Schizosaccharomyces pombe: one gene and its partners. The gene in region 3 interacts genetically with the main gene of each other region. Each region holds a gene or a part of one and is shown on either strand. Other genes may lie near its edges.

The links.
Region 1: mutations in ach1 (region 3) and bmt2 together harm fitness less than expected from each alone (positive genetic interaction), as found in Schizosaccharomyces pombe (one large-scale study listed by BioGRID).
Region 2: mutations in ach1 (region 3) and siw14 together harm fitness more than expected from each alone (negative genetic interaction), as found in Schizosaccharomyces pombe (one large-scale study listed by BioGRID).

What each region holds. Positions count from the first base shown.
Region 1 is NC_003424.3:363,794-367,010, reverse strand, and holds bmt2 (rRNA (adenine) methyltransferase Bmt2), read right to left. Parts: upstream 1,567-3,217; 5' UTR 1,462-1,566; coding exon 649-1,461; 3' UTR 569-648; downstream 1-568. Other genes in the region: protein Vps55, read right to left, coding at 1-43, 120-138, 194-210.
Region 2 is NC_003423.3:1,403,378-1,407,423, forward strand, and holds siw14 (inositol pyrophosphatase Siw14), read right to left. Parts: upstream 2,356-4,046; 5' UTR 2,090-2,355; coding exon 1,597-2,089; exon of another isoform or gene 1,573-1,596; intron 1,466-1,572; coding exon 1,380-1,465; intron 1,319-1,379; coding exon 1,242-1,318; exon of another isoform or gene 1,191-1,241; coding exon 983-1,190; 3' UTR 599-982; downstream 1-598. Other genes in the region: protein aim19, read left to right, coding at 41-134, 194-213, 435-598; methionine--tRNA (Met) ligase Rar1, read right to left, coding at 4,031-4,046. UniProt on the Schizosaccharomyces pombe protein: Cleaves the beta-phosphate at the 1- and 5-position of soluble inositol pyrophosphates. Has exopolyphosphatase activity in vitro but does not appear to contribute to the homeostasis of cellular polyphosphate.
Region 3 is NC_003424.3:4,980,674-4,985,049, forward strand, and holds ach1 (acetyl-CoA hydrolase), read right to left. Parts: upstream 2,485-4,376; 5' UTR 2,227-2,484; coding exon 661-2,226; 3' UTR 542-660; downstream 1-541. Other genes in the region: SPOM_SPAC1952.08C (pyridoxamine 5'-phosphate oxidase), read right to left, coding at 1-113. UniProt on the Schizosaccharomyces pombe protein: Presumably involved in regulating the intracellular acetyl-CoA pool for fatty acid and cholesterol synthesis and fatty acid oxidation.

The sequences.
Region 1 (3,217 bases), 4.6 Mb from region 3:
AAGCACAAGACAGGATCACCAGCATAAATCCTACTGCCAGGACCTTAATAATATAAGTTAGACTCGTTTAAAATGGAATTGATGTCTAGCTCGAGTAGGAGTCATTGAGCGATGCATACCGAAGAAAGACCGATAATTCTAATTGGTGACAAACGTTAACCTTTGCTTTTTCATATTAACAAAAATTACTTACTTCCTGAGGTCGGACATATTTAATTACTATCGTTCACGAATATATACTGCAAGCTAAAGTTTACTGCTTTTGAGAAGAGAGACTTCGATGATTACCAGCTACTTCACCTAAAAAGGGTACGCTCCATTACGTTATACAGATGTGTTCTGTATGCATAGAACACAGAGCGGTGCACAAGATTTGTAAACTTGGCAAATAAGTTTAAAAAGACATATAACGAAAATGACTTGTTACTATTTTTTACACCAATGATCGAGCTTTCGGCTCATTAGTAAAGTATCGCATACGAACAAACTCTGAAAAACGTACTTTGTAGCTACGTAAGTAAAGGCTAGTAATTGACATTAACAATACAATTAAAAAAAAGCAAGAGGATAACCGACAAAAAGCATTCATTTCATTAATTTAACTTTGAGATACTAGTAAAATAAATTTTGTATTGACAAATATCTTAATTAGAGTATACAGGGAATGAAGAAATTATTCCTAGTTGCCCCATCATTAACGATCTTCTTTTTCCAGTCTATTTCTTTCATAGGAAAACACTCGTAAGAATATAAATAGTAGGCTATTTTTTTCGATATAGACTTTTGACGACAGATAAATCCAAACTGTATCATAATTGAGTGTAATGTTTTTTCATCCATGTACCGAGAATTTGTTATGCAAGGCGAAGGCAAAACCAAAAATAACCAAGGAGGCTGTTCTTTATTAGGAGGCATTAACAATCCTGTACAATGTAATAACATTTTAGCTCGGAGTTCTGGAGGTGCAAAATTCAGCACAAGTGAACAACTTATCCCAGTAAAAAGTCCTTCTTCAGGAGTTCTTTCAAGAAAGTCCTGTTGTTTAATCAAGGGATGAACAGAATGCAAATCAATCCTTGAAACTCGGAAAAGTCCACAAGTTGAACATTTGTTGTCAACAGAAACACTGCCAATTTCCAACAAATCTTTCGGCTCCTTAAGACGTGCGCAATACGAAAAACAGGGAGTTGTCCGAATCCATTTTATCAATATTTTACTTGAATCCCCTCCTTTTCCTTCCGCTTGACCGGATCGACTAGCTCGTTGGTAAGCATCAATACCTATATTTTCGAGTTCACTTTCCACATTTTTTATTTTTTCAATCGGAGCACTTGACGCAATAAGTCGAGATTTCTCTTTTAACAGGTTATGATAATGACGAATAAGCTTATTCCCCTTCAGTCCCTTTGCATTATCAATGTTGTTTTTTCCAATGCGATTCTTCACTGGAATGGGACGCATTCAAATAGTGATAAAATATTTGTTAATCTCCCAGATGAAAATATAATTGTATTTACAGTAAATGGTTCATAAATGTAGTTTCCTAATTACTTGAAAAGTTTTTACGATGAAAGAAGTAGTGTCGCGTTACTTATAAAAATTCAGCACAAGAAGAGCTTGGACAATGTATGATAAATTCTTAATATGTAATTAAAGAGCGGTAATTTATGCAACCCTTTAACCATTACACAGAATATTAAACGGGTTTCCTTTTTTTATACGGTTTGTACTTTACAAGCACAAATCAACTTTTTTTATATTTGAAACAAAAATTTAAAGGCTTTGGGCTTCGAGGGGGATCGAACCCCTGACCACTTCGACCCAAACGAAGTATGCTACCACTACACCACGAAGCCTCAGTTGATATTGTGCTTTGAAAACTGTATATATAGTTATTAGATTTACTTGATTATTAACTAAACTTTTTCAATTGTTTTTAAAAAATAATCAAAATAAAGAAAACAACCGCCAAATATGGTAGAACTATAACATAAAAAAATTCGGATAAATAAACAGCCAATATCAACTTCTCTCTTAAATTGTTTTAAATGATTCCACTCATCAGTTACGTTACGATATAATTGATATAAGTTATTTTTAAAAGAAAGTAATAAATGTGTATAAATATGTATATACGACAGCTATTGAAAAGTATTTTGGTAAATTCTAAACTAACGATTTATATCTAGTGGAATTGGATAAGGGACTTTATTTATTATTTCTTAAATAAAATACATTTTAAAAAATAAAAAAAAATAAAAAAAGAAAAGAAAAGAATTTGGTGTACTACGGATTACCTTAAGTTTTTAAGTTAAACGGGTGAAGTGTAAGTATTTATGATATGAAAACCATAGAAACATTTTTGTATTTTTACTACTTACAGACGAATTCTAATTGTTTCACCAGACTATATACTATTAAAACAAATAAGTGCTTCAAAAATAATTATTGTAGATTAAATTTTCTTGATAACTCAAACTTGAGTAAATTAATTTTTTAGAGTATATGTTAAAAAAATAAATACTTTTAGTTTAATTAAACGTACAAAAAGTGTTAACAAACATTATGTACCTGTAAACAAAATGTAATAATTAAATATAAATAATATTTGTAACTGCGGCTGCTATCGCATTGGATGGGGGACTGATTGTTGTACATTTCAGCTAAACTTATTTTTACAAGTTACTTTATTTACTGACACAATAAATTGCGTGTTTTTTTTGGATTACTATAGAAAAAACACATACGTTAGCACTGGAATATTATTATTTAGCTATAAAAGTCGCAAGAGACAAGTATGACAATTTAAAGACAAAGTATAAAATGCATATTACCTAAATTCTTCAGCATTTGAGCTATACTGCATGGCATCAAGATTAAACAATTTAAAAGTTAGCCGTCATTGTAGAAAATATAACTACAGAAATTCTATTATCCCTGAAAATCCAGAGCATCACCAAATTTTATTATGTATCTTCTATTTACTTATAGGTAAAAACAAAACATTTACAGCGTTACAACTTTCCAAATAGTGAGGCGCAGTGAAGCCGTTTCCAAGTATTACAGAGTTTACGCAAGCATTCAGTATATTGGCACAAATGAGACGTAACGGAATGTTAGTGATACAACATCCCGTAACAAAACTTTGTTGGTAAAATCCAACCATTGCATAACGACTTTAGCCTTTTAAAAAGCTTTTTGTGTTTGTAGTCCTTTA
Region 2 (4,046 bases), on a different chromosome or scaffold from region 3:
AATTAATTAATTCAGTATTTAGCTAATTTCTATAAAACAGTAATTGCTTCTGTACCTAGAGCATTTAAACGACCCTATGGCGGTCCTTTCGTTCCTGGTTGTCTTTTGTGTGGTGGATTCAATGCTATAGGAGGGTATTTACAAATATACTTATTTCTTTTGTACTGTTCTATTTTACTAATTACTTTTTCAGTCTTGCAATTGCTAGTGGTGGTAAGTGATTTTGGTGACTAGTATTCCAATTCATTATATGTTGCCTTGGTAAAATACATAGGAATTTAAGGATAGACGTTTGATTTCAAATATTACTCCTCACGATCATTAAGCAGCTTTTATGAATGTGTTCAATTTCGTTTTAAAAAGTTTCAAGTCTTTGCAACTATTAGGATTGTTTTTCATTTGCTTTTCGCAATTTATTGACCTTACGAATATAGACTTAACCAACGGTTCAGGAATTTGTACAGCTTGGTCAATTGCCTATCTAATGATTAATGCTACCAAATCAATCAAATCTTTTCGACTATACCCAATTGCTCTAACTACATTCGCAACTGCCAACGCAGTCGGTTACGGGAAAACCTTCATGAATGAATATTAAAAAGTGATATATTATACGATATATACAACGTTGAACCTCAAAACCATTATTCCAAAAAAGAAGACGAAGAAAACGTGGTGGAAACACCACCGTATTTTCTTCAAATGTACAGTTACTTACTCCTATGAAATTCTGTAAAAATTCCTCGGATAGTAAATAGTACATATATATAAGCAAACAAGTTTATGAAAGAATTAAAAATTATAAAAGAAAATGTTATGTAGGAGGTAAATCCTAATTATGTACCATCTGGTAGCTATTAAGCATTTAAGCTATAACTAGGAAAAAGAACAAAATAGCGAAAGACATATATATATGGAACAGCCAAGTGATAAACACAAATAGAAAAAGTTGAAAAACAGGAATACTCTATAAGGCATTCAATTACGAACCGGGAGAACGACAAGTTTCATTCACAGTAGCAGCTTGCACTGTCGGAGACTCACTGGACAAAACGACATCAGCTAATTCTGAAGATGAATCACTAATATACCGTTTCAAATCATTGAGAGAAGACTTTAGAGATGGATCTGATGAAAAGTTCTGAATATATTCTTCGTCAACTTCACGTTCTTTGGGATGTGAAAAGGATCTTTATAGGTTAACAATTGATACGAAAACAATGAAATAAATGAAAACTTACATATATTCCTGTAAACGATTTCCGACTGGCCAATTCATCAATGCTCTTAGACAACCAATTACAATACCTGTGCGATGCTTAATGAATCGTTAGCAAAGCAATAATTAAGAAAATAATCTAAAGAAAAGAATAACCTACCTTTCCACGACTGCAATGGAGCAAAACAGGCCAATTTTCTTTATTTAAAAGAAGTTGTAAAGTTTTTCGTACAAGATCGTCAACGTCTAGCAAGCGGGTTAGCTAATCAAAGTAAAGTAATTAAAAAAAAACTTGAAACAAGGAATGAAGAATAATTAAAATATCTTTTTAATTTTTAAACAAAGTGTGCAACAAGTTAAGATGGTGGAAAGCTTACCTGAAATGTCGGGATTTGAGGAAGAGGAAATGCAATCGTTTTTCCGATGTTTGCTTCCAGGCATGGCAATATGATAATAATTAATGTGATGTTTAGTGAAGTAGTGGAGATCCTCTTCGGAATACTCTTCTTGTCTTAATGATATAATGGTACGGATGTGTAAGGATTCCAGGAAATTGAAATTAGAAGCACGTGGACATGCAGAACGATAAATAATTCCAGGATAAACGACCCCAAAATTATCTGGTACAAGCGGTGAATTGGAGAATGTCGAGGCATCGTTGGAAGTGTCAACTACCTTGATACCATCTTTATGGGCATTCAACTCTAAGCAACAAACTGGTTTTGCCTGTTCTTCCGAATTCACAGAATGACAATCGTTTAAACAACTGTCATGACTCGACACCTCGGGTATAGACATAGAAATTTGGTCCCTATCCGAAGTAATTGATATCAACTTCTTTTCAAGTTGGAATGGAAAAACAATGGCCATCAATCAACTACCCTCCCAAGCACATTCGAAAAATAAAGAAACCACTTAAAATGTTTCTCTAATTATGAACGATTGATGGTGCCACAACCTCAATTTGACTACTTAAGAAACTTCTAAACGATAGCGGTACCAGGACGACAAGCGTTAAGACCTGAACAGTAAATTGGAAATAAAGTACTATACAAAAATACTGATTTGGCAAATTTTGCCAAATGTATTACTTTTCTGAGGATATTGTAGATTCTTGGTGAGGTAAGGTATTTAGCAAATTAACCGGAGCCGATGAAGATGCACAAGTATACGGAAATTTACGGCATATTTATGTAAGCTAGAGAAGAGAGGGACGGTACACAGAAGCCAGAAATCTTTCACTGAATACTCTTATAAAATGCATTTTCACCTTCTTTTATTTGCGCGAGAATCCTATTAAAAACTACTATTCCATATGTCTTTTTTCAACCAAACATCTGGCACTGTAAGTCTAATCAGTAAGTCATAGATGCTAAATAGGAAGAATTATTCAATCCATAATAAAAAAAAACACTATAAAAGCTACAATCGAGTGCAAACAAACAATTCTTTTTCAATACAAAATAAATCGATATAATTTCCGCGACTTCAGTAAAATGCACTATATGAAGCCAATGATAGGATTCTGAGGCAATCTGTTAAGGAAAAAACGGTACCTCTTTAATATTATATTTTGATATGAAAGATACTATATTAGTACATAATCGTTCATATGTGAGTGTGAAAAATTGAGTAAACAAACCAGTAAAAAAAAAGGAATTATGAAAAAAAATTGGATAGAATTAAATACTGATACAGAAACAAGTATTAGAAGTTGAATAAAAGTTGGAAGCAACCGCATTGTTAACGAGTTGAATAATTTGATGTTTCAACTCTGCAATGTTAGGATACCAGTGATGCCGAGCAGCTCATCGAATTAAAACATAATCGAAATATTCATGTAAAATACTATTAATATACAATACAAATTACATTCATGAGTGATAATACATTTGGATTCGCAAATTCTTCGCAACATTATACAAAGAGTATGAGTATTCTTCTGTCTATAATTAGCACTATAAATTATTTTAACTTATACAGCAAATGTCTACGGCCATACCTAGGCGAAAACACCAGTTCCCGTCCGATCACTGCAGTTAAGCGTCTGAGGGCCTCGTTAGTACTATGGTTGGAGACAACATGGGAATCCGGGGTGCTGTAGGCTTCCTTTCATTACTGTATTCATTTTTTTTACATTACTTACACATGTTAGTGAACACAATGAAAGCAAACGTTTCTAAAATGTTTCAACAGACACGGCATGGTATATTAAACACCGGAATGTCAATTACATATGGTTTTTAAATTTGAGTTAATTCTTCTGTAAAAAGATAGTACCTACTTCTTTTTTTTATAGAAGAATGCCTACAAACACGTTTCTCATTGACCATAATAATTTTGCTATAATTGATGCTAACTAATATTGCCTTAAAATCTCCTTATAAACTCAAAAATACAAAGTAATCTTTTTAAATTGGCTGTTTTCTCAATTATGTATAATTTGGCCAACCTCGATCGACTCAGTAATTAAAATTAAAGCCGTAGTGAAGCTTTCTCATACTCTCCAATATGAAATTAATTATTGTGTGCGCTCACCCATCATTTTATTTACTATAAACAGCACCGTGGTGAACAGTTATAGTAGTACCAAAAAACGAATCTAATAATCTAACCCCTACAAAAGAAGTCTTCTACACTTTAATATACATTGGAAAAATGTTGCTCGCGACAGTGGTAATTATTTGTAGGTCCAATAAAACACCCTTTTTCCATGTACCCCAACAAGAATAACTTTTAAAAAAAGAAAAAAAAACGGTGTAGCAGATTTTCATTGATGGAAATAGAACCACTATTTTCACATTGGTTAAATTAGTTTGATCCATTA
Region 3 (4,376 bases):
GAAGAGTGAGGCTGATCATGAAAGCAAGTAGCTAGTTGAATATATTTGGATGAGGACAAGCATCTCTTGATTTGGCTGGGGAACTCATGAGATGAATCGACTTTTGAGGCCATATTTACTTTCAGGTTATTGTGGTGCGACAAAGATTATAATTTGCAGAATAAATACTGGTGAATGGAAACTATTGATCCAGACAAAACTGTACGATAATTTCTATACTTGATTATCCTTTCCTAAATTTTGGTGGTACTCCTCTCTGAGTAAGCAGGTTTGATACTAGGTTAATAGCAGAAATGCTGACTCACAACTCAACGTAATATAGAGGTATGTACTAAACAGCCAACTTACGAATTTTGCAGGGGAACTAAAGATTAATAATCTTCAAAGGAATACTGCTCATAAAATAAACGCGCTCATTTCTGTGTATCTTGGAAAATTCATACGCATTATGATTGTTGGATTTACTTACTCAAAACTAATTTCCTTAACTTATAAACACTAATTTTAGTATACGGATTTTTTTTATTTCGTAAATTAAATTAATGTAAAAATGAAATACATTAAGTCATAACAGCACGAAGAAGCTGTATTTTAGTCGTAACAAGGTTTTGGAAAACCCTTAGAAAGAGTAAAAGTGGCTATAACAACTGATAACTAAATTTACCAATGATCGATCTTCATCGTTCCTTTTTCTAAAAGGTTGAGCTGCATCTTGAAAGCATTGGCAAGAATATGGGGTTCATGACCAGCTCCTCTAGCTAAACAGTAGTTTTCGGCAATATCGAAATACTCTCTGAGCAGAGGCTTATAGTCAGGATGAGCACACTTGTCAATAACCTCACGAGCACGTTCGGTAGGAGACAAGCCTCGTAAATCAGCCAATCCTTGCTCTGTAACCAAAATATCCAAATCATGTTCGGTTTGGTCAACATGGGTAGCCATAGGAACAATACAAGTGATACCAGTAGGATCCTTCTTCGAAGGACGAACCGATGGTGTATGCATAATACTTAATTTCGCATTACGCAAGAAATCAGCAGAACCACCTAAACCGTTCAACATTCTGCTTCCCAAAACATTTGTACTATTGGCATGAGCGTAAATATCGGCTTCCACAGGAGTATTCATAGCGATGCAACCAAGACGGCGGATAATTTCAGGGTGATTGGAAATTACTTGAGGGCGTAACAAAATTCTTTCCTTGTAGTAATCATAGTTTGAGTAGAATTTTTCAAATCCCTGAGGAGAAAAACGGGTTGAGGTAGCAGTAGCAAAACGTAACTTTTCAGAGTCAAAGAGAGGCAAGAAAGTATCTTGTAAGACTTCTGTCCACACTTCGAGATCTTTAAAGGGAGAATGGGCAAGACCACCGATAATAGCGTTGGCAATGTTTCCAATACCGGATTGCAAAGGATGAAGATTTTTGGGAAGACGCCCTACAGATACTTCATGATGGAAAAAGTCAACTAAATGGCCTGCAATAGCCTGCGAAGTCTCATCTTGCGGAGAGTTAGCGCATGTGATGTCTCCATAATCAGCCTCCACTATTCCAATAACCTTTTTGGGATCCACTTTGATGTATGGCTTTCCAATACGATCGTCAACTCGATTGATGTTTATTGGAGTACGATGTGGGGGGTTGGGAATTTCGACAATGTCATGAAGTCCTTCAAAAGAAGGAATGGCAGTGTTCACCTCGATGATAATCTTTTCCGCAAGTTGCATAAGTTCCGGACTCGCACCAACTGATGCGCCGGGAACAATTCCGCCGTCCTCGGTAATGGCTGTGGCCTCAATAATGGCTGTGTCAATTGTATTACTTTCACGATTACGAGTATAGTAGCCATAAAGTAAATCTTGGGGAAACATGGATAAATGCTTGTCGAAAAACTGAATTCTGCCAGAGTTAATTCCTTTAGAAATTGGCTTTCCTACTTGATGAGGACACCGGCGCTCAATCATATTCAATTCAGCCCACTTGCATTCCGTATCAGCACCTCCCGAGGCACCAACGAACAATTTAAAACGCAATTTTCCTTGCAAATTGTTCTCTTCGACATGTCTTGCTAACGCGTTTGGAATCATTTTAGGATAACCGACACCAGTAAAACCAGACCAACCAACATAGTCCCCATTTTTAAAGTACGGAACCAACTTGGCAGGATCCGTAACAATTTTTTTGGCAAATTCGGCATTGCGAATGCGTGAACTCAGAAGAGACGGCATTGTATCAACAAAAAGAAGAGAAGAGGAAGGAAATATTAAAACGTTGAACTAGTAAAAGTCAAATTCAAAAGCGATAAAACAAGAAAAAAAAGAAAAGAAAAAGAAATCTTTCAATGAAGAATCTGGGCGACAGATAAATAATCAGAATATGCTCAAAAACGCTTTTTTGGGCTTAAAAGATAATTTTAATTTGTTGAATGTACACTCTTTTTTACTTTTAAATAAGAAAATGAATCAACCAAAAGTGGTTGTTCTTGTGACAAATATGTAACTGCTCAGTAACAGATTTACAAACCCAAGGATCACAGATATCGGTAAGATATGGAATGATGATTGCAAAAAAAAAGCCGGAATGATGAATGTATGCGCGACTTGATTTTAGCAAAGTAGACCAAAATTGTGACGAAAAAAAGAGACAGAATTTGCGAAATAGGAAAAGGGTAAAAGGTTGACCGGGTGAAAATCTTCAATAATAAAAGGGCGTAAACTTTGTTTAAACAATGTGTTTCGAAAAAAAGTGTTGTTTGCTTATTTGTTTTCCGGGGAAGGAAGGTGTTTTTTTATGGTGATTTAGTCACAGAAACGGAAGAATATGAATGAGAGTAAATATAATGAAAATCCCAAGTAGAGTAGCGTTTTGCCCTATTAAATGACAAAACCCGAGTGTGTTGACTTTGGCAGACGTTTTGTTATATCTGTAAAAGAATTAAGGATAAGGAGAACAAATGTAGGTAGGTAAGTTAGTAGTAAAGCGAACACGAACGAACCGATGCAAGAAGAAAGAGTCAAATGATTAAATTAAACTGAATAGAGGTGAAAGGGGGGTGAAAAGATATTAAATCAAAGAAACTTCAACAAAATAACCAAAGATTCAGCTGTTTAAAAGCCAAATTTCAAAATCCTGGAAATTGTTTTGTTTTGATCTCAACGACGCTAATGACAATCAGAAGTATCGATTATAAGAGTGAATTACACTCAATTTTTGTAAATATACCAAAATACTTATGGATGGTAGTTGTTAGGTTAGGAATTCAAGTGTTGAAATGGAATTCACCTTGTTTTATATGTGTAAAATAAGGTTTCACCTAGAGCCTATGGAGGGTCATTCATTGGAATCGCACATTCAAGCAGGTAGGGAATCAAAACAAATGCAGTACGTATAAGGGAGTGAGGCAAATTACGGTAAAAAGATAGTGCCGAGAATGCTTGCTTACGTTGTAATTTCTATAACAAATTTTGTAGAAATCCTGCTAAATAATTAATAACGATAAATCACGAAATATTTTGTTTTTCAGTTTAAGTCAGAATTAAGAGGCAGAAGGCAGCAATGACTTAGTACGATATATCGTCATATTAAAACAAGAAATCAAATTATGGAGGTAATTAGGAACGGTATCCCATTATTGTCCCAAAACTGGGTATTATTATTCAAACGCGGTATATAAATAAAAATATATGTTTACGTTATACAATTAATTTATTTATTAGCATTATTAATAAATTAGGATTATTAATAAACAGAAAAGACTAGACTTAACTATTTGTATCAAATTAGTTCAGATCATTCAAAAAACTTTTAAAGAAACGGTTCAATCACTACAATCAACAATATCACAAGTGTGAGTTAACAACTAATAAACATTCCTTCTTAACCAGAAAAATGATAGAATTTTTTGACTTAAAATCCTTGTAGGCCACAGAACGATATATTCGTTCTAAAACTTCCGTAAGGAAATGGTCAACTCCAATTAGCTATCACCTTTTTTCCTGTATAAGAAAAGAACCAGCTCAAAATGTTTACTCAACTAAATCATTGTAATAGCATGTTGAGAATTTTGTTTTTAATAATAGCAATGATATGAGCAATGAAGCATGAATTAGGAGATTTTTTTTTTTTTTTTTTTCAAATTGTGAATTATAGGCAAGAAGACTGAGCTTTCAAAAGAAGGACCGAAAGCAATAAATTTTAACAAAGACAAAAAAGATATGTATTAAAGGTCAAATGAAGGAAAAACACAGTACAAGAGATCGGAGCACAAAATATTCACCTACCAAGGAATGCAAGGAAACACGAAATGGAAAACAGTAAATTCAACAGGCGTAAGAAAACAAACGATGATTAGGACAGAGAGATGAGGAACATTGATAAA